4 linked regions of the Drosophila melanogaster genome follow. The protein of the gene in region 1 interacts with the protein of each later gene in a pairwise test. Each region holds a gene or a part of one and is shown in the gene's direction. Other genes may lie near its edges. The genes, in order: Taf12, CG9331, CG15927 and side-VI.

Evidence for each region.
Region 2: the proteins of Taf12 (region 1) and CG9331 interact in a two-hybrid assay, tested with the Drosophila melanogaster proteins (one large-scale study listed by BioGRID).
Region 3: the proteins of Taf12 (region 1) and CG15927 interact in a two-hybrid assay, tested with the Drosophila melanogaster proteins (one large-scale study listed by BioGRID).
Region 4: the proteins of Taf12 (region 1) and side-VI interact in a two-hybrid assay, tested with the Drosophila melanogaster proteins (one large-scale study listed by BioGRID).

The regions. Positions count from the first base shown.
Region 1 is NT_033777.3:11,677,172-11,682,274, reverse strand, and holds Taf12 (TBP-associated factor 12), read left to right. Parts: upstream 1-2,584; 5' UTR 2,585-2,708; exon of another isoform or gene 2,709-2,876; 5' UTR 2,877-3,061; coding exon 3,062-3,331; intron 3,332-3,402; coding exon 3,403-3,723; 3' UTR 3,724-3,889; downstream 3,890-5,103. Other genes in the region: CG6830 (uncharacterized protein), read left to right, coding at 1-40, 100-590, 646-1,012, 1,073-1,287; Ho (heme oxygenase), read right to left, coding at 1,403-1,630, 1,686-2,191, 2,248-2,404; CG18476 (uncharacterized protein), read left to right, coding at 4,259-4,390, 4,458-4,870, 4,926-5,103. UniProt on the Drosophila melanogaster protein: TFIID is a multimeric protein complex that plays a central role in mediating promoter responses to various activators and repressors.
Region 2 is NT_033779.5:20,820,887-20,828,632, forward strand, and holds CG9331 (uncharacterized protein), read left to right. Parts: upstream 1-2,755; 5' UTR 2,756-3,229; intron 3,230-3,547; exon of another isoform or gene 3,548-3,838; intron 3,839-4,385; 5' UTR 4,386-4,534; coding exon 4,535-4,626; exon of another isoform or gene 4,627-4,689; coding exon of another isoform or gene 4,690-4,781; coding exon 4,782-5,201; intron 5,202-5,746; coding exon 5,747-6,084; intron 6,085-6,145; coding exon 6,146-6,271; intron 6,272-6,610; coding exon 6,611-6,729; 3' UTR 6,730-6,838; downstream 6,839-7,746.
Region 3 is NC_004354.4:12,452,275-12,456,937, forward strand, and holds CG15927 (uncharacterized protein), read left to right. Parts: upstream 1-2,454; 5' UTR 2,455-2,594; coding exon 2,595-3,164; 3' UTR 3,165-3,409; downstream 3,410-4,663. Other genes in the region: Pkcdelta (protein kinase C delta), read left to right, coding at 1-100, 169-316, 404-583, 643-783, 868-1,017; CG15731 (uncharacterized protein), read right to left, coding at 4,282-4,663.
Region 4 is NT_033777.3:10,970,129-10,976,308, forward strand, and holds the start of side-VI (sidestep VI), read left to right. Parts: upstream 1-2,252; 5' UTR 2,253-3,221; intron 3,222-6,180.

The DNA.
Region 1 (5,103 bases):
TCCAAGCTGCTGAAGGTCGAAATCGAGGCGCAGTTAAAAGGTAAACTACTTTAAATTCTGAAATATTTAATATTATAACCAATCTTCTCACATCTACAGACAATAGCGTGAAGACCTTCTCGTACATCCTGAAAGTCCACAGCGACAATGACGCAATCAACTTCTCCGACTTTAACCTGTTTCCAAAAGAGATAGAGGTTTACAGCACATATGTGCCCGCCTTCGAGCGTTTCTATAAGGATGTTGGCCTACCAGTCACTTTTAGTCCGAAGTCCTTCCGGCTCAGCAAGGACGTCAGCAAGGAGTACCTGCTTTTGGAGAACCTGCAGCCGAGTGGCTTCAAGATGGTCGATCGCATGATTGGAATGGACTTGGAGCATTCCAAGTGCACGTTAAAGAAATTGGCCCAGTGGCATGCAGCCTCTCTGAAGTACAAGGAACTAAATGGACCCTATTCGCCCAAATACAATAATGGCATTTTTACAGAGCAAACGGCACCTATATTTAAGGGTATGTTTGTTAACACTAAGAAATCCTTTATAGAAGAAGTGAGCAAGTTTGACGGTGTGGATGAGTACTTGCACAAAATGGTAAGTCACTTTACTTTATTCCTTGTAACTAACTTAACAAAATCATATTTTGCAGCCAGAGATCTTGGATACGTATGTCGACAGAATACTTGAAGATGCCAAAATAAATGAACAAGCGTTTAATGTGCTCAATCATGGTGATGCCTGGATAAATAACATCATGTTCCAATACGAATCAGATGGTCGCGTCAAGGAAACCCTCCTGTTGGATCACCAAGTCACGAAGTATGGAAATCCTGCCCAGGATCTGTATTACTTCATAATGAGCTCCACTCAACTGGACATCAAAGTCGATCAGTTTGACTACCTTATCCGATGGTATCATCAAAACATGAAGGAGCACGCCAAGCTGTTGAACTACAACGGATTTATTCCCTCGCTAAAGGAACTGCACGCCATTCTGATACAGCACCCCATTTTTGGTAATTTACAGAAGGATTTGAGGTTTTTAAATTCCTCTGACTGACATGTTTTTCTTCAAGCTGCTGGAACTGTGCTCACTACCTTGTCGATGTGTCTTAACAAGACAACCGATGACTTTACCACTGATAGCTTTTTGGGAAATGAAGAGAATGGCAAATCCCTGAGGGAGGCAATGTTTAGCAACGAACGTTATAGGGCCAATATAGAGCGTGTCATGCCATGGATAAATAGACGAGGACTGCTTGATAATTTTGCCAACGGACATTCCCAATAAATACTTTACTTCAGACAAATTTCAGGTTATTTACTATTTAACAAACGACTAAATAAATGTGTGATCACAATTCTAACTTGCTCAAGAGAGCTTACATTTGTATTTCCTACTTTTCTTACTTGAGAGCAAATTTCACGGCCACTACAATACTTGAAACAAAGATTAGTGCGAGGGCCAGCTTCCTAAGATTGGCACGATTCACACCTTTGATGGTCCGTACTACTTCTATATTTAAGCGAAATACGTTGCGACTTTCCTCAATAAAAGCAGCACGCAAATCATCGTCAAAAGCTCCGTAGTGATTGTTGAAAACGCGCCTTAGTTTGGCCTTTAAGACAGAGATCTGAAAGTGGATATAAAGACAATAGATATAAGGAACAAAGTAAAAAGCTACGCACCTTCTCAGGAAAATATGTGGCCTCACATCCCGGCGGGCAAATGGTAACCTGGGCAGGCATTGGCCTGGCCTCCAAGTCGTCTTTGTCTACAGAGCCATCGGCAGCTCTGGCGGTGGCCAACTCTGCCTCCTTGTCGGCCTGCTTCTGCTGCTCCTCGTCATCGTTCTTTGAAAAGATCCACATTTTACGAGCGATCATACGCTTCTTCTGCAACATTTGTCCGCCGGACATCAAAGCCATGTACATCTGATAGGAGTAGGCGAACAGCAAGAGTTCGTTCTGTGCGGCAATCTTTTCCAGATGCTCGAGATATTTCTGGACCGCCGGGCGAATTTCGTAGTCCTTCCTCCAATCGGAACCGTAGAAATAGGCAAAATCCCTTTCAAATGCCGCTGTTCTGTGGAATTCTTTGGGCAGCAGGCGCTCCGGCAGATGGGTCTCAAAGAATTTGTACAGTTCGTAGAAGGCCAGGAGTCCATCATACCAGACCTCGTCATCAGAAAGGGCTATGGAAGAAGAGGAATATCTAATAACTTCTAATAATATCGTGTAATTAACGAACCAAGTGCGATCTTTGCATTCACTAGAACATCAGTAAGATTATGCACATCTTTTGTGGCTTTACGCAACTCCTTTGTGAACGCCATGTCTACGAATTCCACATCCTCCACATTCTCGGAGACCTGACTGTCCGCTATTGTTTCTTCGCTCGCTGACATGTTTCTTTTGCGCAGCTATTGTTCCCAATTACAAAGTAAAATATATTCCTTATCTACGTGATATTTGCAAAATACGCCGTCTTTGTTTTGTTTTGAACTCCACGCCAGTGTGGCTGTCTAACTAAAATATACTGAAATTAAACGTAAATATACCAAATTGCTTTATAGCACCAGCGGGCATTTCAGAGTCGCCTGCAACTGGCCATACTGTTGATTTGGCTGTAGTTGCTCCGCTTATTTTTATTTTGTTTAGTAATTTAGGAAAGTAATAGTTTAAGATCAAAGTGTTAAAACCGCAATAATTGTAAGTGTTGCATGCGCTAAGAGCAACTGCTAAGTAACACTTTAGTTTTAGTAAACACACAAAGCGACGGATTCTTAAGACCGCACGCGTGAAATTGACCACTCTATTCTTTTACTTACATTTCGCTTTGCAACCAAACACCCACGCACACACAATCACCGACTGCAGTTGAGAAAGCAGGAGGACACACAACATAAGCAGCAACAACAACAAGTACACTAACGCTTTTGGCTTTGGTTCTGCACTCTTACCCACTCCCCAAAAATCCGCCCAACTTACTGTACTTTCCCCAAACACTTCCAACCAACCGACCTACCACCCACTTGATTTGACTCTGAAGAAACCCAAAAGCAATGTCGGATCTCTTTACCACTTTCGATAGCAACGGCGTCGCCGAGCACCACCTGCACCACAACCACAACTCCACATCGTCCGCCAGCGGACTGCTCCACGACCCACCCATGGCCTCGCCCTCCCAGCACAGTCCGATGACCAACAACAGCAACTCATCCTCGCAGAACGGCGGACCGGTTTCCGGTTTGGGTACGGGAACGGGCCCCATATCTGGTGGTAGCAAGTCATCCAATCACACATCATCCGCCGCCGGTTCCGAGAACACTCCCGTAAGATGCGTGCCTTATGGAGTGCACACGGAATACGCCAGGGTCTAGTTTAACTCTCTTCCGAATTACAGATGCTTACCAAACCGCGTCTCACAGAGCTCGTCCGAGAGGTGGATACCACCACGCAGCTGGACGAGGATGTTGAGGAGCTTCTGCTTCAGATCATCGACGACTTTGTCGAGGACACCGTCAAGTCGACGAGCGCCTTCGCCAAGCACCGAAAGTCTAACAAGATCGAGGTGCGCGACGTGCAGCTGCACTTTGAGCGGAAGTACAACATGTGGATACCCGGCTTCGGTACGGACGAACTGCGTCCCTACAAGCGGGCAGCTGTCACGGAGGCGCACAAACAGCGCCTTGCCCTCATACGGAAAACGATCAAGAAATACTAGAGGATTGGATCTAATCGGGTCGAGGCTCTGTTTCGGTTTGCCGGATTTCGCGTATGCTAAACGTGCACACGCCACAAACTAATTTAAGCTCCAATTTAGATTAAATAACAAATTATCGTCGCTCTATTGTAGATTTATTGTAATAAAAGTGCACTATTGATTTCACATTCAACAATTGGTCACCGTCAGCAGTAAATTTTAAGTCGTGATTTTTTAATCACAGTTTCTAATGGTTCTGTAATATTTGTATTAATTGTTTGTCTGGTGGATATTGATTTATATTTTTCATAATTTAACAATTTCTTCAGTTTATTTTAAAAATATTTGTGTAATATTTCCCTTTGAAAATAATTAGCGGACTCTGCTGAACGCACCCAATTAATTGCTGTATTTTTTAACAACGTGGTATTTTTTTAATGACCGAACGGTATTTTCCATCTCTCGCATCAAGGTCATACCATCAATAATGTTGATTTTCTGATTGTTGATTTAAAATTAAAAAAGCTTTCAATTGGCCAAAACAAATTTGTTCGCCATGAAGCTGCCGGTGATTTGTCGCACGTGCGACTCCACGGACACCGACAACCTTCTGAAGCTGGCCACGCCCTCGAAAAAGTATCCGGACAAGTTGCTTTCGGAGATTTTATGCGAGCTAACCGAAATCAATGTAAACAAAGTTCTAAGAAGCGAAATCTACGAAAAATGCAAACTAAAATGAAACATTTACCTTTCAGCTGGATGCAACTGGTAGTCAGAAATTTCCGCAATGCTTGTGCAGTGGATGCACCAAAAAATTAATGGGTGCCTATTGCTATGTGAAGCAGGCGATGGCCGCCAACGAACTTCTAATGAAGCATCTAAAGAACGGTGCTGCTCCAACGTCAACCGACTGTCTGCAGGAGGCGCCGATGGAGCTGTGTGCTGAGCAGCATGTGGAAGTCAAGCTGGAGACTGAGGATGAGGACTGTGGCGAAAATGATGTTACTATCACTTGTTCCGAACTACCGGAACCGGACGAAACGGACATGGAGAGCAAAAAGTCGGTGGACCCACTGACCATGATTGAAACGGTGAAGCTGGAAATGGAACCCAGAAGCGTGGAGAAGCCAGCGTATGACGATCCCACATCGGACTTTGAAGACGAAGAGTGGGTGACAATTGGAATTTCCCAACTACTTTATTTTAACTAACTAATCTTGCAGCTCCCTGGATAATTTGCCACTGTATAATCGCATTCAAAAGTGGAAAACAGGAAGAAAGTCTGTATATAAATGTCACGACTGCCCTAGGAGTTTTAAACGATTCGACTTCTTGAAACGCCATGAAATGCGCGTCCATAAGCCAGAAACTCGATTATATGACTGCTCCCTTTGCATTCGC
Region 2 (7,746 bases), on another chromosome or scaffold:
ATTGTTCCGGCCTTATATAGCATTTGGTAAAAGTTATAGATCCAATACGGACTAACATTACATTGTATTTTATCAGGAATGCAATCAAATCTACTCATTGCACGCTTTTGACCGACAAACTATGCAGTGCTCTGCATTACATTTTTAAATACCAGAAATACCTAGCATCACAACTATCGTGTGTAGCGTACATCAAAATTGTGGACAATACTTTCTTCAGTGAAATAAGAATAATCAAGATTGAGTGCGAAGCCCCATAGTAAAATATAAACATTGAAACACAATATGGTCTAGACTTCCACCAAATCGAATAAAAAGGTGCCCAACGCAAAAACAGGTTTTTTGTTTGAGCTTAAGAAACATACATATGTATGTACATATGCCGCGAGCATGGGTCAATTTAACACCCCACCCCCCCCCACCCCTCTGCAGTGACCCTGGACGTGTTCCCAATTCTTAACCGCAAGCAAGTGCAGCGAAAACAAAACACTTGCATTCCCATAATTATCATGTGTGGTAAGCAACGGGGACTGCTGCAACACAAAAACCAAGCAGCAGAGACATGTAAATTAAGACCCGTGCCTGACGTCAGTCAATGTTAACATCATTACAAAGCCAACAGAGCTGGATTAGCTACCTAAGTATGTTGGTATATATGTATATACACAAGTACACACTTCCATGAGCAACTGAAATCTGGGGAATGACTACAGTGGTACTTTACTAGTTTGCTAGTCTCTTTTCAGTTTAGTGCTTACTGTTACAGAGGACGCACTGTACTTGCACATATGCAAGTGCACATCAACTCCCACGCTCACCAACTCTACTTGTCTCTCTCTCTTCTAGAGCTCGTGGTGGAGCTCACTCCCGCTCCCGCTCTCGTGCTCGTTATATTCATAGAGCTGTGCCGTGTGTAGGCACCGCCATCGACTTGGGGCCCACCACCACACGCGCAGACACACAGACACAGCTCGCTCTCGCTTTTTGTCTTCCGTCGGGTTATCTCGCTGCTGGCGACTCTGGGCGCCTGTTCCGTTATATCGCGTAGAGGGACCTGCCTCAATGTTGCGCGTCAATTTTAGGGAGCCTACACCATAAAAATCGGTGACGGTTGGCCACTTTTTTTGTGGCCCGGCACGTCCCACTTTTTTTTCATCTTGGCCTTCTCGACAGGCCGTTGAGTGGAGTTGGGCGCTCCAAAAGCGCCTGCGCGGAGTGCGCGACGCCTCGCTTTGCAGCTTTGTCGCTCGGCCGCCATTTGCGATTCCCGCTGCTGGTGTCGCCAAATATGAAGCAAGCAGAATGCGGCGCAAGCAGTACGGATATGTTTGTGGATGCTGCTTAGGTGTCTGCAACTTGCCCTTGACAGTTGACTTTAACCCGCTGAGTGCTGTGCGAAGGCAATCCCAATCTTACCTTGTGAATGCAATTAGCAAGGTTCTAAGTTCTAAGTTAAAATGTTTGTAAATTACTTTTTAAGAAATGTGAACAAGTACTACAATGTGTATTTTTGGTGACACATTAACTTTTATTGCATTAAGCATTATCAGGAATAGTGCTTAGAAGTGCCTAAAAGTATGCCCACTTTGTTCTTAGTTGGGAACTGAACTAAGTAAACGTTTTCATTTTCAGTTTCCGATTATATCGAAACTGTAGTAATTTATTAGCCTAAAACGAAGACCTAGTGTTAGGCTTTCTAATATCCCAACTTATAAATATTATTTACATACATATGTACATATGTACATTGTATTTTCATATGTTCAGTGGAGAGATCGAGAGATGCGCTTCTCAAATTCCATTTTTTCCGTTATACCCCGTCTTTCACTGTCCGCCTCCACTATCTCTATCTCTCCGCATTTTCTCTTCTCTGTCCGCCGCACACACTCTCGTTGGCGTCTGTCTGCTGTCATCAGTTGCTGATTACTTGTTCACCAAACCGCAGTTTAGCGCTGGCAATGCCGGCGGCAGCAGACGTAACGACGACGACGGTCGCGTCTGATAGACAGCTGTCTCCAATTGGAATGTTGTCTCCGGTTACGTCAGTCAAAATGACGCATCGTGTTTTGGTAACAGGAAAGCATAAAAGCGAGAAGAGCACCAATGTGCGGCACTCTGCTGCACAATGGCCGCGAAACAAAAGAACAAGGCACGAAGAAAATGTGTAAACCGTTGTGGGGGACGAAGAAAAAGCAGGCACAGACGCTGCGCCGCGTCACGACAACAAAAAAATCCACCCTCGCACAAAGCGCTAATATTTTGTTGGTTTTTCGTTTCGCTTTCAATTAGGCAGAGTGCAGTGTCTGGGCCAAATCTCAAAGGTAAGAGGAAGTGCACAACTTTCAGTGAAGCCAATCTAGGCAAACAAAAAGCCAAACTGTCCGTTTCGATATTTCACTAGAGCGGTATTATGGTTAAAACTATGTTAAAATAGTTCTATACTTAAATCGTAAATCAGTAAAATTTAGATTAGTCAATTTTCGTATAGTAACAATATCAATAATTTTATTGTTTTTAACATTTGGAATATCTTATAAATATGTATATGTATTATCATGTCTATGAATATATTCAGTTCTAACCAGTAAAATATTTGATTACTCCTTACACGTAGACGTAAAGTAATTTAGTATTTTGTTTTAAGTTTCTGTGCCTTTTGTCGGAAGTTCTAGCTAGTTAATTCGCGCATCACTGCCAGCGACGCTAACGCCAACGCGAACGGTTCTTGCCGCCGCTTTCACACAGACGAAAAAGCGCAGTGTGCGTTGGCCAACGCTGTGCGCCTGCTGTTCTGCGGACAAAATTTGAGCAGATCCGCTCACAAAAAAACGTACTTAACTGCGAAATAGTGCTGGTCGTGTAGGTTCCACGTTCCAACCGACTGCAGTGCTTTGGCTCCATGGCACCACGGCTAAATGGCCAAATGGCTCCACTGCTCCGGTGGCTCCAACTGCGGTGGTGCCCATTCCAGTTGGAAATTGCATGCGAGCACATGGGAAAAGTCCCCAACTGGTATTTCGAGCAGGCGCACAGCTTTCCCAACTGCTCACTCTCCCAAAGAGTTCCGTCTCTGTCTCGTTCGCACCGATAAGGAGCCTTTCGAGATAAGCAGCTGGAAAGGGACGGACTGATGGTAGCGGCAAAGCGCAGTGTGCAACGACAGAAAGGGATGCCCAATGATGGTCTAATCGGAGGGGGAATCGCTGATCGCTGATAGTACTGGAATCTGGTTGATATAACCCCAATATTATGTTAAAGAGTGAACTACATTTTTAACTGAGATTTTAGTGAGTTTCCGGCCTTTAAGGGGTGTATTTTTACGATAATAAAAGTTTGTTAGATCGCATATTGTTTTAAATATTTCATATATGTTATTTTATTTTAACGAATTTATACAATTGACTTCAAAAATATCTGTGCACCATTCCATAAAATGTAAACCGAATTAATATGTTGAAAATTACTCTCGTATTAACTCTTTTTTGGGAATTGATAATTCATTTGCGATACGATATGAGTTCTATATAAGGCTTAAGCTTTGGGGCCAATACTTCAGTCGTGCGGCAAACGCAAAGCTGAAAAGTATTCTAGTTCTATAGATCTCACGGTAAGAGAAAGTATAAAGTCTAAATAAGAGAACATAAAAATGAAATCGGATTGCGAGCTTTTATTGCATAGCCAATGGAAAAAAGTTTTAGTTAAATTTTCACGTCGGGTGCGTTTGGAGGCAGAGTGTAGCATAGTGTAAAGAACAAATTAATAATAATATAATAAAGTAGTTCTCTTGTGACATTTGGTGTCGTAAACAGTTTGGTTAAGAGAGTTTTTAAGAGTGACGGTTTGTTCTTTGGTGACATTGAGTGTAATTAATATCAAAATATTACTGTGGGTTTTTCCATTCCCTCCCACAAACAAACAAACAATGCTAAAAAACCATCAAATTGTCAAAAGTGTTGAGTGGAATGAGTCGTGGAAAAATGATTAGATGCGAACATATCTGAAAGTTTTTGCTCGCGGAATTTCGCCATAAAAATCTCGTGCGTCTGTGCGGAGATAGCGACCGTATAACCGCGAAATTTAAGTACTTTAAAAAACATGGGAGATAGATGTATTTTAGCTACTCGAAATTATTGACCGCAGTATATAATCGTATTTCCACTGAAATAATTGTCTCTGTTTTTTAGCCAAAATAATTGGCTCTTAGTCTTTGATAAATTCATCTATGTTTCGTAATTTTTTCATTACGCTCCACATGTTAAGTAAAATTAAACTTAATTTTAGAATGTTTATTTTTGCCAAATGTTATTGTTATTAACCCAGAAATAATCTTGCACCGTTCCTGATTATTGAATCCACTTCGATAAAACTCCAATATTATACCTTAGTTCTCGAACCAGCAAACCAGTTGTGCGTCTTATACATACGCCGTAGGAGAGACTGAGACTCACATCAGCTGCTCGGCGGCTTGAACGCCTACAGACATACATACATACGTACATACATATATAGGGAGAGATTTAGAGCGCGGATTATAATGCTAAACAGGTTCATTGGTTTATCGGCTGCGATCGTGGGTCGGAGCAGTCGGATCAGCGGCTTTCCGTTCTCGCCGCTCCTTAAAGCTGGGTGCGTATGCCGCTTGAGAGTTCAGTCGCTCGCGAAACACGACTTCGATCGCAATACTTCGAGATGAGATCGATTGCCACCAACTCCCTGCTGCCACTGATTGTGGCCTTGCTGATCGCCGGTAGTAATGCCTCCCTCCCACGCAGGGGCAGCAGAAATCAAAGCCAGAATCGCACCATGTCCGCTGGCAAGGCTTTCAAGGTCCTGGTGACACATCCCGAGGTTCCCCAGGAGGGCATTGATCTGCTGAAGGAGAACTGCGAGATCGTCCAGGTGCAGAGTGTTCCCATCAACCGGGCGGAGCTGCTGGAGAAAATCCGTGGCGTGGATGGCGTTCTCTGGGGTGGACACGAACCCCTCAATGCCGAGGCCCTCGATGCTGCCGGTCCCCAGCTGAAATCCATCTCCACCATGTCGGCGGGAATCGACTACGTCGATGTGCCGGAGGTAAAGAGACGTAAGATCCCGCTGGGACACACGCCCACCGTTCTCAACACCGCCGTGGCCGATTTGGCAGTGGGTCTCCTGATCGCCGCCAGTCGCCGTTTTCACGAGGGTCGCAAGACCATCGACAAGTGAGTACCACTAGTTGGTTAGTTGTGTTTGTGATGATTCATATACTTACAGAATTAATTTGAGCAATGACAAAAATAGAGTAAACCGAAATTATAATTGTCATAATTATTATTATAATTAAGCTAAACTAGGGACACTTTATTTTCAACTTAGTGTGGCCGTGAAATGTATACGCATGAATTCTCGATTAAAATTGCAAGCCGGTTCTTAAGAATACCGCCTGTCCGCTCGTCTGTCGCTTGCACTTTTGCTCTATAGCGCTCACAAGTGGACAAAGCATTATCATCAATAGGTTTTGGCTCCTCACATGCATAATGTAAAATTCTAAAGTATTGACTTTCGATTTATCTACAAACAAAAGGTACGAGCAGTTTATGTAACCGCCGCTAGGTGGCGGTGCAATAAAAAAAAGTTTTTTTTATCTTCATCTTAGCTTAGTAACAGGCATTTATCAGTATCTCGAGTATCTACAAGTATATTATATATTTTGGAAATATTCATATATCTTTCAATTTCTTAATTTGTATCTTTTGCGTTCTAAAAGTGACAAGTGGGAAAACTACCATCTTAACTGGCTGTTGGGCCAGGATATTCGTGATTCCACCGTGGGATTCTACGGCTTTGGAGGCATTGGTCAGGCTATTGCCAAGCGTTTGTCTGGATTCGACATTGACAAGGTGCTGTACACCACCCGTCGTCGTGTTCACAAGGAGATCGAGGAGGAGTTCAATGCCAAGAAAGTTGACTTCGATACCCTTCTGGCCGAGAGTGACTTCGTAGTGATCGCTTCTCCTTTGACGAAGGACACACAGGGCGTCTTTAATGCCACCGCCTTCAACAAGATGAAGCAGACTGCTGTGCTGGTTAACATTGCCAGGGGCAGTAAGTTACCAGTATTAATTGGGATTCTCGACCGATTTTAACTATTTATTTTATTCCTCAGAAATCGTCAACCAGGATGACCTCTACGAGGCTTTGAAAGCCAACCGAATCTTTTCCGCCGGACTCGACGTCACGGATCCGGAACCATTGTCGCCCAAGGACAAGCTGCTGACGCTTGACAATGTTGGTGAGTGGGAAAATGAAAATAATGTTGTAGTTTATTGATATCAGTCCTCAGGCCCACACCTAGCAAATACTCGTATTTCTGGCCCCTTATCAATATAAAGATTTTGACTTATCTCTTCAGTGGTTGACAATGACTAAAAGTATTTTGAAATTAATGGAATCTTTAAGGTTTCTTGAAGGTTACAAATAAATAGGGTAACGTTTATTCTTTCCATGTTTTATCTAATTTCTGCGTCCTTGTTGACCTCTATAATTCCCTTCTTTTGTTGATTTATTAAAACATTGTTATCTTGGTTTGTGTAATCGTATCTTGAACTAACCACTTGATGTGTTCTTTTAGTTGTCCTGCCCCATATTGGATCCGCCACGAAGCGCACCCGTGCCGACATGTCCACCATTGCTGCCCATAATGTGCTCCGCGGTTTGGCTGGGGAGCCCATGTTGTCGCCCGCCTACTAGTAAATTCAAATGGGAAATATGGCTTTCTACCGCTAACCAGTTTGGAATGTCCGCCAAACAAAGTGCGAAAGGCCGCCGATGACCTTGGCATGCCAGTAGATGTGAAAATAAAAAAAACAATTAAAAAACAAGTATTTGCTGTTGCAAATTTATTAAATTAAATATGTGGGAATCTAATCTATACCGTAAGATTAGCTCAACTGATTAATATGGAATAGGTAAAGCAATAGAATAATTGGTGCTAGAGAATGAGAAACATAATTTAAATACTAATATAGTATATCGTAGGAAATAATATTGTACGTTTTAAGAAATGAGAGCAGAAAACATTGATTTAGTAATTCGCAAAGTTTAGCTCTGCACAATTGCAAAACCTACCACTTTTCCCCAAAATGTATCGAGGACCTTCAAACTGCTGATTTCGCATCCAAAAGTCCCAGGAACGGCTGCGGGAGCTTGTCGGATCAGGATCGGAATAGGATCATCGCTTCTTAAAACTGGGTGCTTATGCCGCTTGAGAGTTCGCTCGCGAAACCCGACTTCGGTTGTAGTTTTTCAACCTGCTCCCACTGATTATGGCTTTGCTGATCGAATATAATAATTGAAGGCCCCTGGGCATGGCCCGTTGGTTTCAAGGTGCTGGGGGCGAATCCCAGGGATTACTATGTGGGCATTTATCTGCAGAAAGAGAACTGCAACTGCAACTGCTGCAACCAGCAAGAAAGCAGACCGGCGACTGAGCAGGACAGTAGCCCCATAAGGCAGTGGCTCTAAATGAATACTGCCCCCAGCTGACTACGCCGATGTGCCGGAAGTCAAGAGGTGCAAAGTCCCCTGTCAACAACGACGTGGTCGATTTGGCAGTGGGTTCGAGTCGTCGTTTCCACAAGTGATCCAAGAGGATGTACACCATGTTGTACAGTAAAGGATGTAGTAGTATATTAAATTGAACGATTAATCAGTATACCTGTTACTCCAAAAGTAAACGGTATACTTCTTTCAAAAATAAGTAACGGG
Region 3 (4,663 bases), on another chromosome or scaffold:
TCCAGGAGAGCGGTCGCTTTTCGGAGGAGCGAGCCAGATTCTATGGGGCCGAAATCATCTCGGGCCTTAAATTCCTGCACAAAAAGGGCATTATCTATAGGTGATTTTGATTGATTGATTTTGATTTTGATTTTATATTTTATATATATTATACTTGGCCATTTATAGAGATCTCAAACTGGATAATGTCTTGCTGGACTACGAGGGACATGTTCGCATTGCCGATTTTGGCATGTGCAAGTTGCAAATCTATTTGGACAAGACGGCAGATAGCTTTTGTGGCACACCCGATTATATGGCGCCCGAAATCATTAAGGTATTGAATATATTACCAACATGTTGTAGTCTTAATTTTATAGATTTAGCTATCATCTACTTTTAATGCTTACCTCTCAATTTGTAGGGTGAAAAGTACAATCAGAATGTGGATTGGTGGTCGTTTGGTGTGCTGCTCTACGAAATGCTAATTGGACAGTCGCCATTCAGTGGCTGCGATGAAGACGAGCTCTTCTGGTCCATTTGCAATGAAATTCCATGGTTCCCAGTTTACATATCCGCCGAGGCAACCGGGATTCTCAAGGGGGTAAGATAAAAATAATAAATCCATTTAATATAAATATAAATAAATGTAATACCTTTCAGTTGCTGGAGAAGGACTATACGAAGCGTATTGGTTCGCAGTACAGCCCGGCTGGTGATATAGCCGATCATATATTCTTCCGCCCGATCGATTGGGGTTTGCTGGAAAAGCGACAAATCGAGCCGCCCTTCAAGCCGCAAGTGGTGAGTGATTTGATGGAGTTATTACTTAATTAGCTAGTTTTATTAATTTGTGATTTGTTGTGATTTTTTTTTTTTTTCCGTAAGAAACATCCCCTGGATACCCAGTACTTCGATCGGGTCTTCACCAGGGAAAGGGTGCGTCTAACACCCATCGATAAGGAGATATTGGCATCCATGGATCAGAAGCAGTTCCACGGCTTCACCTACACAAATCCTCACATCACCTTGGACTAGAGCCTAATTAATGTCCTAATTAATTATTTAGAGCAACAGTATTTGTATATGTAAATATTTATTATGGCCAAGAAAACAAGAGATTAACAATCAAAGCAAATTGAAGTGAAATCGAAATTTTAATACCTTGTAGTTAAGCTTTGGAGCACATTGAAAATTTGTAATTCTAGTCAGTTAGCTATACGTTTATATCTAAGTCTAATTGTACAGATATCCCTCCTCACATTTACCTATATACATATATATATACGTATGCATATAAATATTTTTTTTTTTTTGCAAATTATTTGTTCTAAATTTTAGTGATTAAGCAAAGGTCTACGTCTATGAGAAATAAAAGAAAAGTAAATAAAAAATACAAACATAATGCGGGTCTAATGTGGATATTGATGTTGAATAAAAACAATGTCAATCAAATGGGTTTGTGATTTAGCTACCGTTACGAGCGCTTTCCGGTGATTATCAATTAATACAGTGCGTTTCGAAAGAGTAAGTATTGAGTATTTCAGATGATAATTTCCAAATAAATACAAAAATAGAATTTAAAAGGCTCATTACGAACCCAACACATTATTATAATCTTAAAGTGGACTTTCATTAAGTTCTTCGGTTATGTCACGCACTGTACCGGACTGTCCATATGCAAATGTGGAACAGTGAGAGTGATCAGCGGTCAACTGCAAATGCCGGCTGGAGTGAAAATTCTGAGCCACGCTTTTCCACATTGCTAATCTGCATAGAGAGTTTACTGCCTTTGTAGTTTGTGGGTTTTTTTTTTTTTTTTGATTGCGGGTGTCTTTTGTCTTAATGCTAATGGGCCGGAGATGTGTGTGTGCTTATGATGGTTGTATTTTGGCTTTTTGTTTGGGCCACTACCAGTGGCAGCGAGAGTGGACGGGTTATGTTTTAATGGCCATTGTAATGGCTCAACTGTCGGCTAGTGAACCAGTGTTAATGTCAATCCACACGAAGGCATTCAAAGAATTATTCTTCTCCACTTTGGCATAAATCAACACAACTCACATACGCTCACAACTCACTTGATGTTGTTAATAAATGTGTGTTGCTCATAACAAAATAGAGGAAATAATGGAAGAAAGAGCCACTTCAACAGGCCACCAAACAATAAACGTCCAGTCGCGGCCAGTTATGTTTTTATTTTCAATCCAAAGTGTTGGACATATCACCACGCACAATGGTGCCAAAGCTATGAACTTCTAATAAATTTTGCTATTTAACTAACATCTATGCTATATCGTCTTATATATTTAAAATGGCAAAGACAGTGCATTTTATTTAATTTTTGGTTTTAAATTTGCATATATTTTAACCCACTGTGCATTCGTGTACCGTACGGTATTTTCTCTAATTAATTCGCTTTTACGAGCGCATTCAGCTGACTTTAGGTTGATTTGAGCCGTGTATTTTTTAGTCCGTTCAGTTGCTGCAACACGGGCCTAGAACGCGCTGCTTTTTCGCTTCACTCTCGACCGAATAACACATTTTGTTTATTTTTTATTCGAGTGCTTATATCGAGTGATCCTTGTGTTTATGATGAGCTAACAACCTGCCGGAAAATGCACATTTTGGCCTATTTAATTCTGAGCCTTTTTGGCCTGGTCGAGAGTTATGGCCATCAGCCGGTACTGAGAAATATCATCAAAGTGCGAGCCAGCGGCTTTATGCCCTTCGAATCGGATTTACTACTGCCATTGAATATCCTGCGCCAGTTGCAGTCGCACGATCGATCATCGCGTTACATTGGTCAGAGGCCAAAGCCAATAGTGAGGCCAAAGGTTAAGCAACAAATCAGATTGGAGAGAGCCAATCCTTTGAGGGAGGCCAAAGGTGTTCAGCTCTATAACTTGATCGATGACGATGGTGAACTACTGTTGAATCTCAAGGTTCACAACGAACAGAAGGGAACTGCACCGGCCAATTATCAAGAGGAGAAATATCAAAGTAGATACCAGAGCTACGATTCACCATGGATGCCCTCGAAATGGAGACCGACCAGCGAATTTCTGGGTGTGACCTCCTCATCGCCACGCCCACTGCCCCTGCATCAGTATCTGGGCCAAAACAATAATCGCATCGATCAAAATACGGCGAAAAGGAGGCGGCAGGATATATGGCCCCACAAATAATAACTAAAATATAATAATATATATAATATATAATATATAACTCATTTAATTGTTTATTCTTAAACATCACAGCACCCAGAGCACATTCACATTTATGAACCTGATTTCAAGCAAAATCTCAATGATATTCATTTGAATTTTTTTGAAAATAATCAATGATCCTAAAATATTTGCTAACATTTTAAAACAAATTATATTAAAGCCAAATGATGGAATACTAGTTCTAAAAGTTTATAAGATAATTGAAAAAAGAAAAAAAAACGTTTCAATTTACTTTCTTTCTACATTTATATCAAGTTCTTCTTTTCTTCGATGTACAAAACTAAAAAAAAAATAACTCGAGCTTAAAATTAAGCCACATCGTTCAAAATAATCCATAAGATATAAAATGTACGACACCGATACACAAAATAATCCATAAGATACAAAATGTACGACACAGATACACAAAATAATCCATAAGACACAAGAACACGCTACAACATAATCAACCAGACACAAAATACATTTCGAAACATAAAAATAAACGTTAAGATACACATACATAAATATATCCATTAGATGCAACGTATATCTAAAATGAACATAAGCCCACCGATGAAAAGGTCGTTGAGCTACCGCTAAATTAGATGACTGTGATTATGCTAATATGGGTCGATCGAATCGAGTTGAAAGTGAAATTGAAACGCGAATCGAAAGTGACTGAGCCGCATGAATGGAATCAAATCAAAATGAATAAAATGCTAATTCACACAGCCTAACTAATCGTGAATACATGGGAATTAGAATGCATAAAGAATGGGTTTTTTAAACCAAATTTAAACAAACAAAACAGGCAAAATGATCAATGATACGTTAATTCGCCATCTATCAGAACTTTCCAACTATTTCTTTAAACATTCTCATATGCTGCAAACAAACTTTCCAAATCGTTGTTCACCCCATATATCACACAATATTCGAATGGTTTATAATTTACAGATGGTATATTTGTTTAAAGGGTGAGGTAAAATGGGAACAACAATAAAAAAAACATGGGAAATGAGAAAAAAAAGGGGACCTAAAATTACTTAACAAGACTCAAGGATCAGTATGACTCGAATCGAATGGCATGGAATCACTTCCAGCTGGAGGATGGGGGCAGATATCCGGGCTGGGGAGCGGATACGGGGGGCAGATACTCATTGCTGGGCGGCAGGTATTCGTTGCTGATGATGGGGGCGGGTCCGTGGCCGTGGGCATGGCCACCGTCCTCGTGAATGACCTTGATGGTCTTGACCTCTTCGAATCCGCCGTGCGAATGACCGTGATCGTGGCTGTGACCGCCCTCCTCATGGATCACCTTGACCACCTTCACTTCCTCGTGGCCGCCATGTCCATGTCCATGGCCGGAGTAGCCACCGGCATAGCCGCCGCCGCCGCCCAAAGCGTGTCCTTCCTCGTGGATGACCTTAACGGTCTTGACCTCCTGGTGACCGCCGCCAGAGTAGCCACCATGT
Region 4 (6,180 bases), 710 kb from region 1:
ACTCTCTGGCAGCTATTTGGTCACTGCACTTAGTGCACTTCCTTTGCTCGCATTGCTGGGGTTTTTCGCCAGCCAGGGAAAAGGGGTTAAGGGTTTTTTAAACTTGCTACTCATTTCGGATTGGGGTAGTTGGAAATAATACTGCATTATTACTTATACTTAAAAGAAATCAACAAATTAAAATTAATAAATGATAAAATGATTATAAGATATAAGGAAACTGAAACAATACATCTATTGCAAAATCTAAAATACAACAACTAATGGGTATCAAATCGGCCATTCCTGATTAGTTTTAGACTGATTCTGGTGCAGCTGCTCTCGTTGCTGCCGCCTGATGAAATGCCATGCTTGGCGGTTGAGCGTTGAGATTTTGTAGGAACAGAAGACCGACAATCTACACCACACACGAAACTGCATGTGTGTGTGAGTGTCGTCCTGGGCTTTTGATTATGTGTGTGTGAGTGATGGAATTTTGCAGTTTTAGTTAATGTTTAGCCAGCGCTATTTTGGCCCAAAGAATGTCGCGTGGAGGAGCCAAATACTTTGACAACATCACCAGTTACATTTTCTATATGTGCACACTATATATATATATGGGGAAAGTAAGGAAAAAGAGTCCGCGAGTGTGTGTGTGTGTGTGTGTGTGCTGACGAAAGTGGTTTAGTGCTATCTTCATTTCGGCATTGGATTTGCCATTAGAGTTTGGCCAAGCGTGTAAATGAAATTTGATAAGATTAGGCTGTGCAATTGTTGCAGTGCTACCCATGTGTCCCATTCTTCATCCTTTGAGTGGATCGCCTTGCAAAGCGAGAGCTTTCCTTGAGTGGTATAAGAGTGAAACCGTTGGAAATTTTGAAAAAATCCCATTCATGCCAAGCAAAAGTTTTCGCGTTCCACAATTCATTCGGTTTTTTTTTTGCTGGTTTCGGGCGCATGTCTGGCGAAACCACGCTTTCGAAATCGAAAAGAGAGCCAGAGAAAGCCGAGAGAAAGTTCAGAGAAAGCGTGAGAGATGCGAGCTTCGGGTCTCGTGGTCCCATGTCAACTTACATGCTTACACCCCATTGTAGTAGAGTTTTTTTTGTAAGCGGTGTGATGCGTGATTTTGATGGTGGTGTAGGTTAAGTTGTAGCGGTGCCATTTTTTAGCCTACACCTTGAGGAAATCAATCAGGAAATTCTGATTAATTAATCACTCAGCTGGGCTTACATTTTGGGTTTAATAAGTAGGACATTAGAGTTTCTTAAAACGATGCCAGAACCCGGAAATGGTTCTATTGGTCTTTTATTCACCTATACGGACTTTATATATTTAATTGGGTTTATAGTCTTACTGCATGAACTTTAGCCAAACATTAGTGAAGTATTCATTGTAATCTGTGATCCTTGACTGGCTGCCTTGACCAGCGAAACTGCAGTAAGTGCGAGATGCTCTTGGTAACCGCTTTCTGAAACTCTCATTCATCTAGGTAGATGCGATTTTGAAGAGAGGCAGACATCGTGAGTTCGATGGAAACGCAAAAGAGAGGGAAAGCAAAAGGTTCCACAGGAATGCGTGGTGGAATATGTTTTTAGAAGGTTCGCAAGGGCAAAAGGGTGTTGAGGTAGGACTGGACACCCACGGCAGGGGGGAAGGGAAGTGGAAAGTCGCAAATAAATCATGATCGGGATTTCATATTGATATACTTCCATCATCATGGCAGCATATTCAAAAATATTGGTTCAAAAAACAATAAAAACATTTGGGATCCTTTCAAGTAAGGTATAAGATGATTTTTAATACAAGATATAGTCAACAAGGTGAATACTTTTCATAACTTTTAGTATTATTATCAATAGATAAAAATAAGAAGTGATTTATTTTTTCATTCACAAACATCTTTTTTATCTTTTGCCCCTGGTAGTTTATATTTCGTTTTTAAAACTTGACAATTCAAGTTCATGAAGCGTTTGAGGTAAGCTTACCTACCACTTGGCTTCCACAGATTGACAACCAAGACGACTTTTGGATTTTACAACCAAAACTCTTATACTCTGGCCCTTGCCAGCCGTTCTGGCTTTCGAAATCGAATCGGCGGCAAGTGTTGGCCCACTTACAAGGCTCACACACACACACACACAGGGAAACCCAAAGGATTCGACTGTTCGGCAAAGTCGAAAATGCGCGACCCGAGCGAAAGCCGAAGGATCCGAATCGTGGAGGGCGATGGCAAAAGTGGCCAAAGCCACGAATGAATGGCCAGGCGCTTTAGTACTGAAAAGGTCGTGGATTTGTGTAGTTGTCGTGCTCCGTTGCCGCCGTTTGTCGTTCTCGTTTTCGTTGTCGTGTTGTCGTTGTCGTTGTCGCTGTCGTACGGGCGGCATCGCATCGCATCGCATCGCCTCACATCGCGTAGCCGCAGTGTTGACCGTCCGCATCCGCAAACTGGCGAACGAAGCAATTGGGCTGGAAATCAAGAAACAAGTGCCACCCAACCTAGTCAAAAGTATATATCTCAATCGGTTATCGCAATTGTTGAATGCTGAATATACAACAACCAAATAAAAATAGAAAAACGTCAAGCGAGACGAGAGTGCACGTGCTAGAAGTAGAAGTAGAAACATCTCAAACGCCTGCGTTAAGTTTCTGAATGTGTTGTTATGCAAATCGCGTCCTTTTTGGCTTGAGGCAACAATACAGTGAGTGTATGTGAGTGAGTGCGATTGGGAGCGTGTATGTGTGTGCCGCAGTTACAGTGTACGACTATATATATGTGCGCTTGTGTACGCGCCCACAATGCATAAATCAAAATACACATTATTGAGCCATAAATAAAGTTCGCATCGGCTGCTACTTTAAATATTGGCCTCGCGGCTGGCGGCGATTCGAAGACGAGAAAGTTAGCAGCAGAAGCAAAGCAAAAGCAAGGCCGACGAAATCGAAATTTATGCCTCGCACCCGCCAAATACTTTGCCATATTTTTTGCTCAATTGCCTGCCGCTGCTCCTCCAACTCCTTCAGCTCCTTTTCATATGATGTGTGTGCGTCTCGCTGGCTGCATAAAAACTCGCTTAATGCCAACACGCCCTCTACAGGAGCAATAAGCAATAAGCACAGCAGCAGCAACAACTCCATTTCCTCCTAACCCCTGAGGGCTGATTTTATTACAAAGGCCGTAAAAAACGCCAAAAAGCGGAGTAAACGCCACAGCAAAAGGATACAATACGGCCGAAACAGGGGTAAGTGCATGTGGGAAGTAAATATCTACCAAAATAAACGTACATATACTTTTGTACCGACAAACCTAATCTTCAGACGAAAGTGAGCGCTCAAAAGTATGCTAAGAATAATAATGCAGGCCATTGTGCTAAGAAGGTTGAAGCATTAAAAATAGAAACATTTATTCTATTCAGCTTGGAGGTATGTGGAAATGTAATGGTATTAAAGTGAAAACAATTCCACACAAAAGGCCTGAATACAAGAAATAAATTCAGTGCTTAATTCAGTGCAGTCTTCTTGTAATAATAATTCGGAATTGAATGAAAATAAAGAGTTTTATTGGAAACAAATCTAAGACGGTGTAGGAAAATTGGAGGATTTAAATATCTTTTAGGAATTTCATTCCTAATTCCCTAATATTAAAGAATCATTTTGTTGTCAACGAATGGCAGCAAAATATTGTATCAAAAAATGGTAAAACAATTATGGAAAACCAAACGCTTGTTACGTTACTTATTAGTTAAAGGAATTTTAAATCTTTTCAAAGCTGTTGAACACAACTTGTGCTTTCTTAAATTCTTCAGCTGCGAATAAATTTTTTATAATCATTTGTCAGACTTTGCTGGTATAAAGCTTTATAAGTTTAGTCATCAGTATTGCTGAAATTCCCTGCTGATCTCTTTGAAGGCACAACGCCAAAGTGGGTCACACAGATGAGTGGAACTTACAATTTGTCTGCGATTGTGTCAGGGATAATATTTCCCATTGCCTTTGATCATTTTGTTGATGCCGGGGTGTCAGTTAGTCAGTCTGAGAAGTGCGTTAGTCTATCCCGAGGAGACATAAGCCATGGAAATCATATTAAAATGCTGTCTGTGCATAACCTACTTTTTATTTCTATATACATACATATATGGCAAGCAGAGTAGTATACAACTCAGTGAGTCTCGCACCCGGTTGCATTGTGGACTGGCTGGCTGGTAACATTCGTATTCGCATTCGCACATATATTGTTGCCATTTCACTTTTGCTGAGCACGTCTTCGCATGTGGATGTGGATGTGAATGTGAATGTGAATGTGGATATGGGTAAGGGTATATGTGTGGCTATGGGTATGGGTGTTGGCAAGGCTGCAGGCTCTTGCCAAATGCGCTTTGTTGCCGCCATTGTCAACATGGCCAGAAACGAGGAGCGGCAGCAGGAAATTTTTGCATTTTTCGGCTCAGTCAACGCAACGTGGCTTGGCAACAGGCCAGGGATGCATCAGGGGTGGGGAGCTATCTCAGATCTGATTTTCTGCAGAGCTTAAATTATTAAAAGCCTGGTCCAAAAGTTAAGGCTTCTTCTCGCATAAATCAAGCTGGCCAGGGGACAACCTGGCGTATGCGCAACTTTAATAACATGAGCAGCAGCTGCAAAAGTTTCGCCTGTCAGGGGGAGCAAGTTTAATGCAGCATGTAAATATTGTCATGACACACGAAAACTTTCACTGGCCCTTTGTTGACAGGCTCTTGAGGACAACGGCTGAAAGGATGCGAGTTGGTGTGTGTAGACAGACGAGATTTATGAGCACAAATGGAAGACGAAGCGTGTGACTCGCATAAAGCTCGGAGTGAAAAGTTTCACAATTAATTTTAATAGTTAATAGCGGAACTATCCAAGATGAATTTTGGGACATCCGATATAAGCAGCAGGTTGCTGGGAACAGCGGAAAATAAATATATATATATATACATAAGCAGAATAAACATTTTCCTAATATTGAATTATTTTTACGTTACACTTTAACCCTAACAAAATTACATATGAAAAAACCAGATTTAAATGTATTAACTAATATATGGGCCATTCAAATGAAAACATGATAATATATTGTAGTTTTGTTTTACCTTTCGAAGAAAAGGGCCATAAAAAAGTGAATTTAATAGGAATCGATTACATAGTTTGTCAGATTTAAAAAATACAAATTAAAGACTGAATCACAGTACATTTTTAAAGGTTTTATTTGTATGAAAGAATTGGGTTTTGGAGAAACCAAAAAAGAAAACCAATGGGTACATTACAGGAGCCCACAAATCGCGATATCAAATGACCTGAGGTGTACTAATTAAAACCATTTTTAAATTAAACAACGCTGAGGAATATCACGTTCGTACTTTAATCAAATGAAATGATTTAATTTGTTTTTTTATGTTGATCAAAGAAGTACATGCTTTATAGCACGTATTTCTCTTTGCCAAATCGTCCCTTCTCTTTCAAATGGAAGCGCTTTAAATCACACTGGCGAATATCACATTTCAAAGTAAAGAAGAATTGAAATCAAAGCTTTTGCTGTACAAAGCCAAATAATCCATCAAGTGGCATTAACTTGAAACAATAAATTTCACACACAGCTGCAGAGGTAAGCCCAAACCAACATAGGTCTCGAACAACTAGAGCTCTGGCACTTGAAGTGCTTGACAACTAATCAGGTTTCAAATGCCTAAGCACACACACTCGTACACTGCTCGAAAAAAGTGTAAGAGTATCGGGCAAGGGGAAATAAATCCGTTCAGAGTGTCGGTAATCAAAGCTGCTTACAGCCTGCGCTTTTATTGTATTTTATGGGGAATTGAGCATCGGTTTTGCGCAAATATCTTTGCGGATTTTATTTTGTGCCCAATACAGTAGATGGGAATGACCGATTGAATTTCGTTGGAAAACCTATCTAAATTTGGCTTTGAATAATTGGTTGAATAGCTTAACTTGAGGAACGAACTTATACGTCTTCTTGTATTAATGTATAAATAAATGATTGGAAAACTATTAAATATAAGATACGGAAGATTAACAAAAGAAGAGCTCATTATTGTTAATTCTTATTTCTAAATCGTAGTCATGCCTGGACTGGAAATGGGAACAAATTGTTTAAAAATATGAAGCCATGCATTCAGTCCGGCCAATAAGCAGACAACGATTGCCTGAAGTTTTACAAAATAA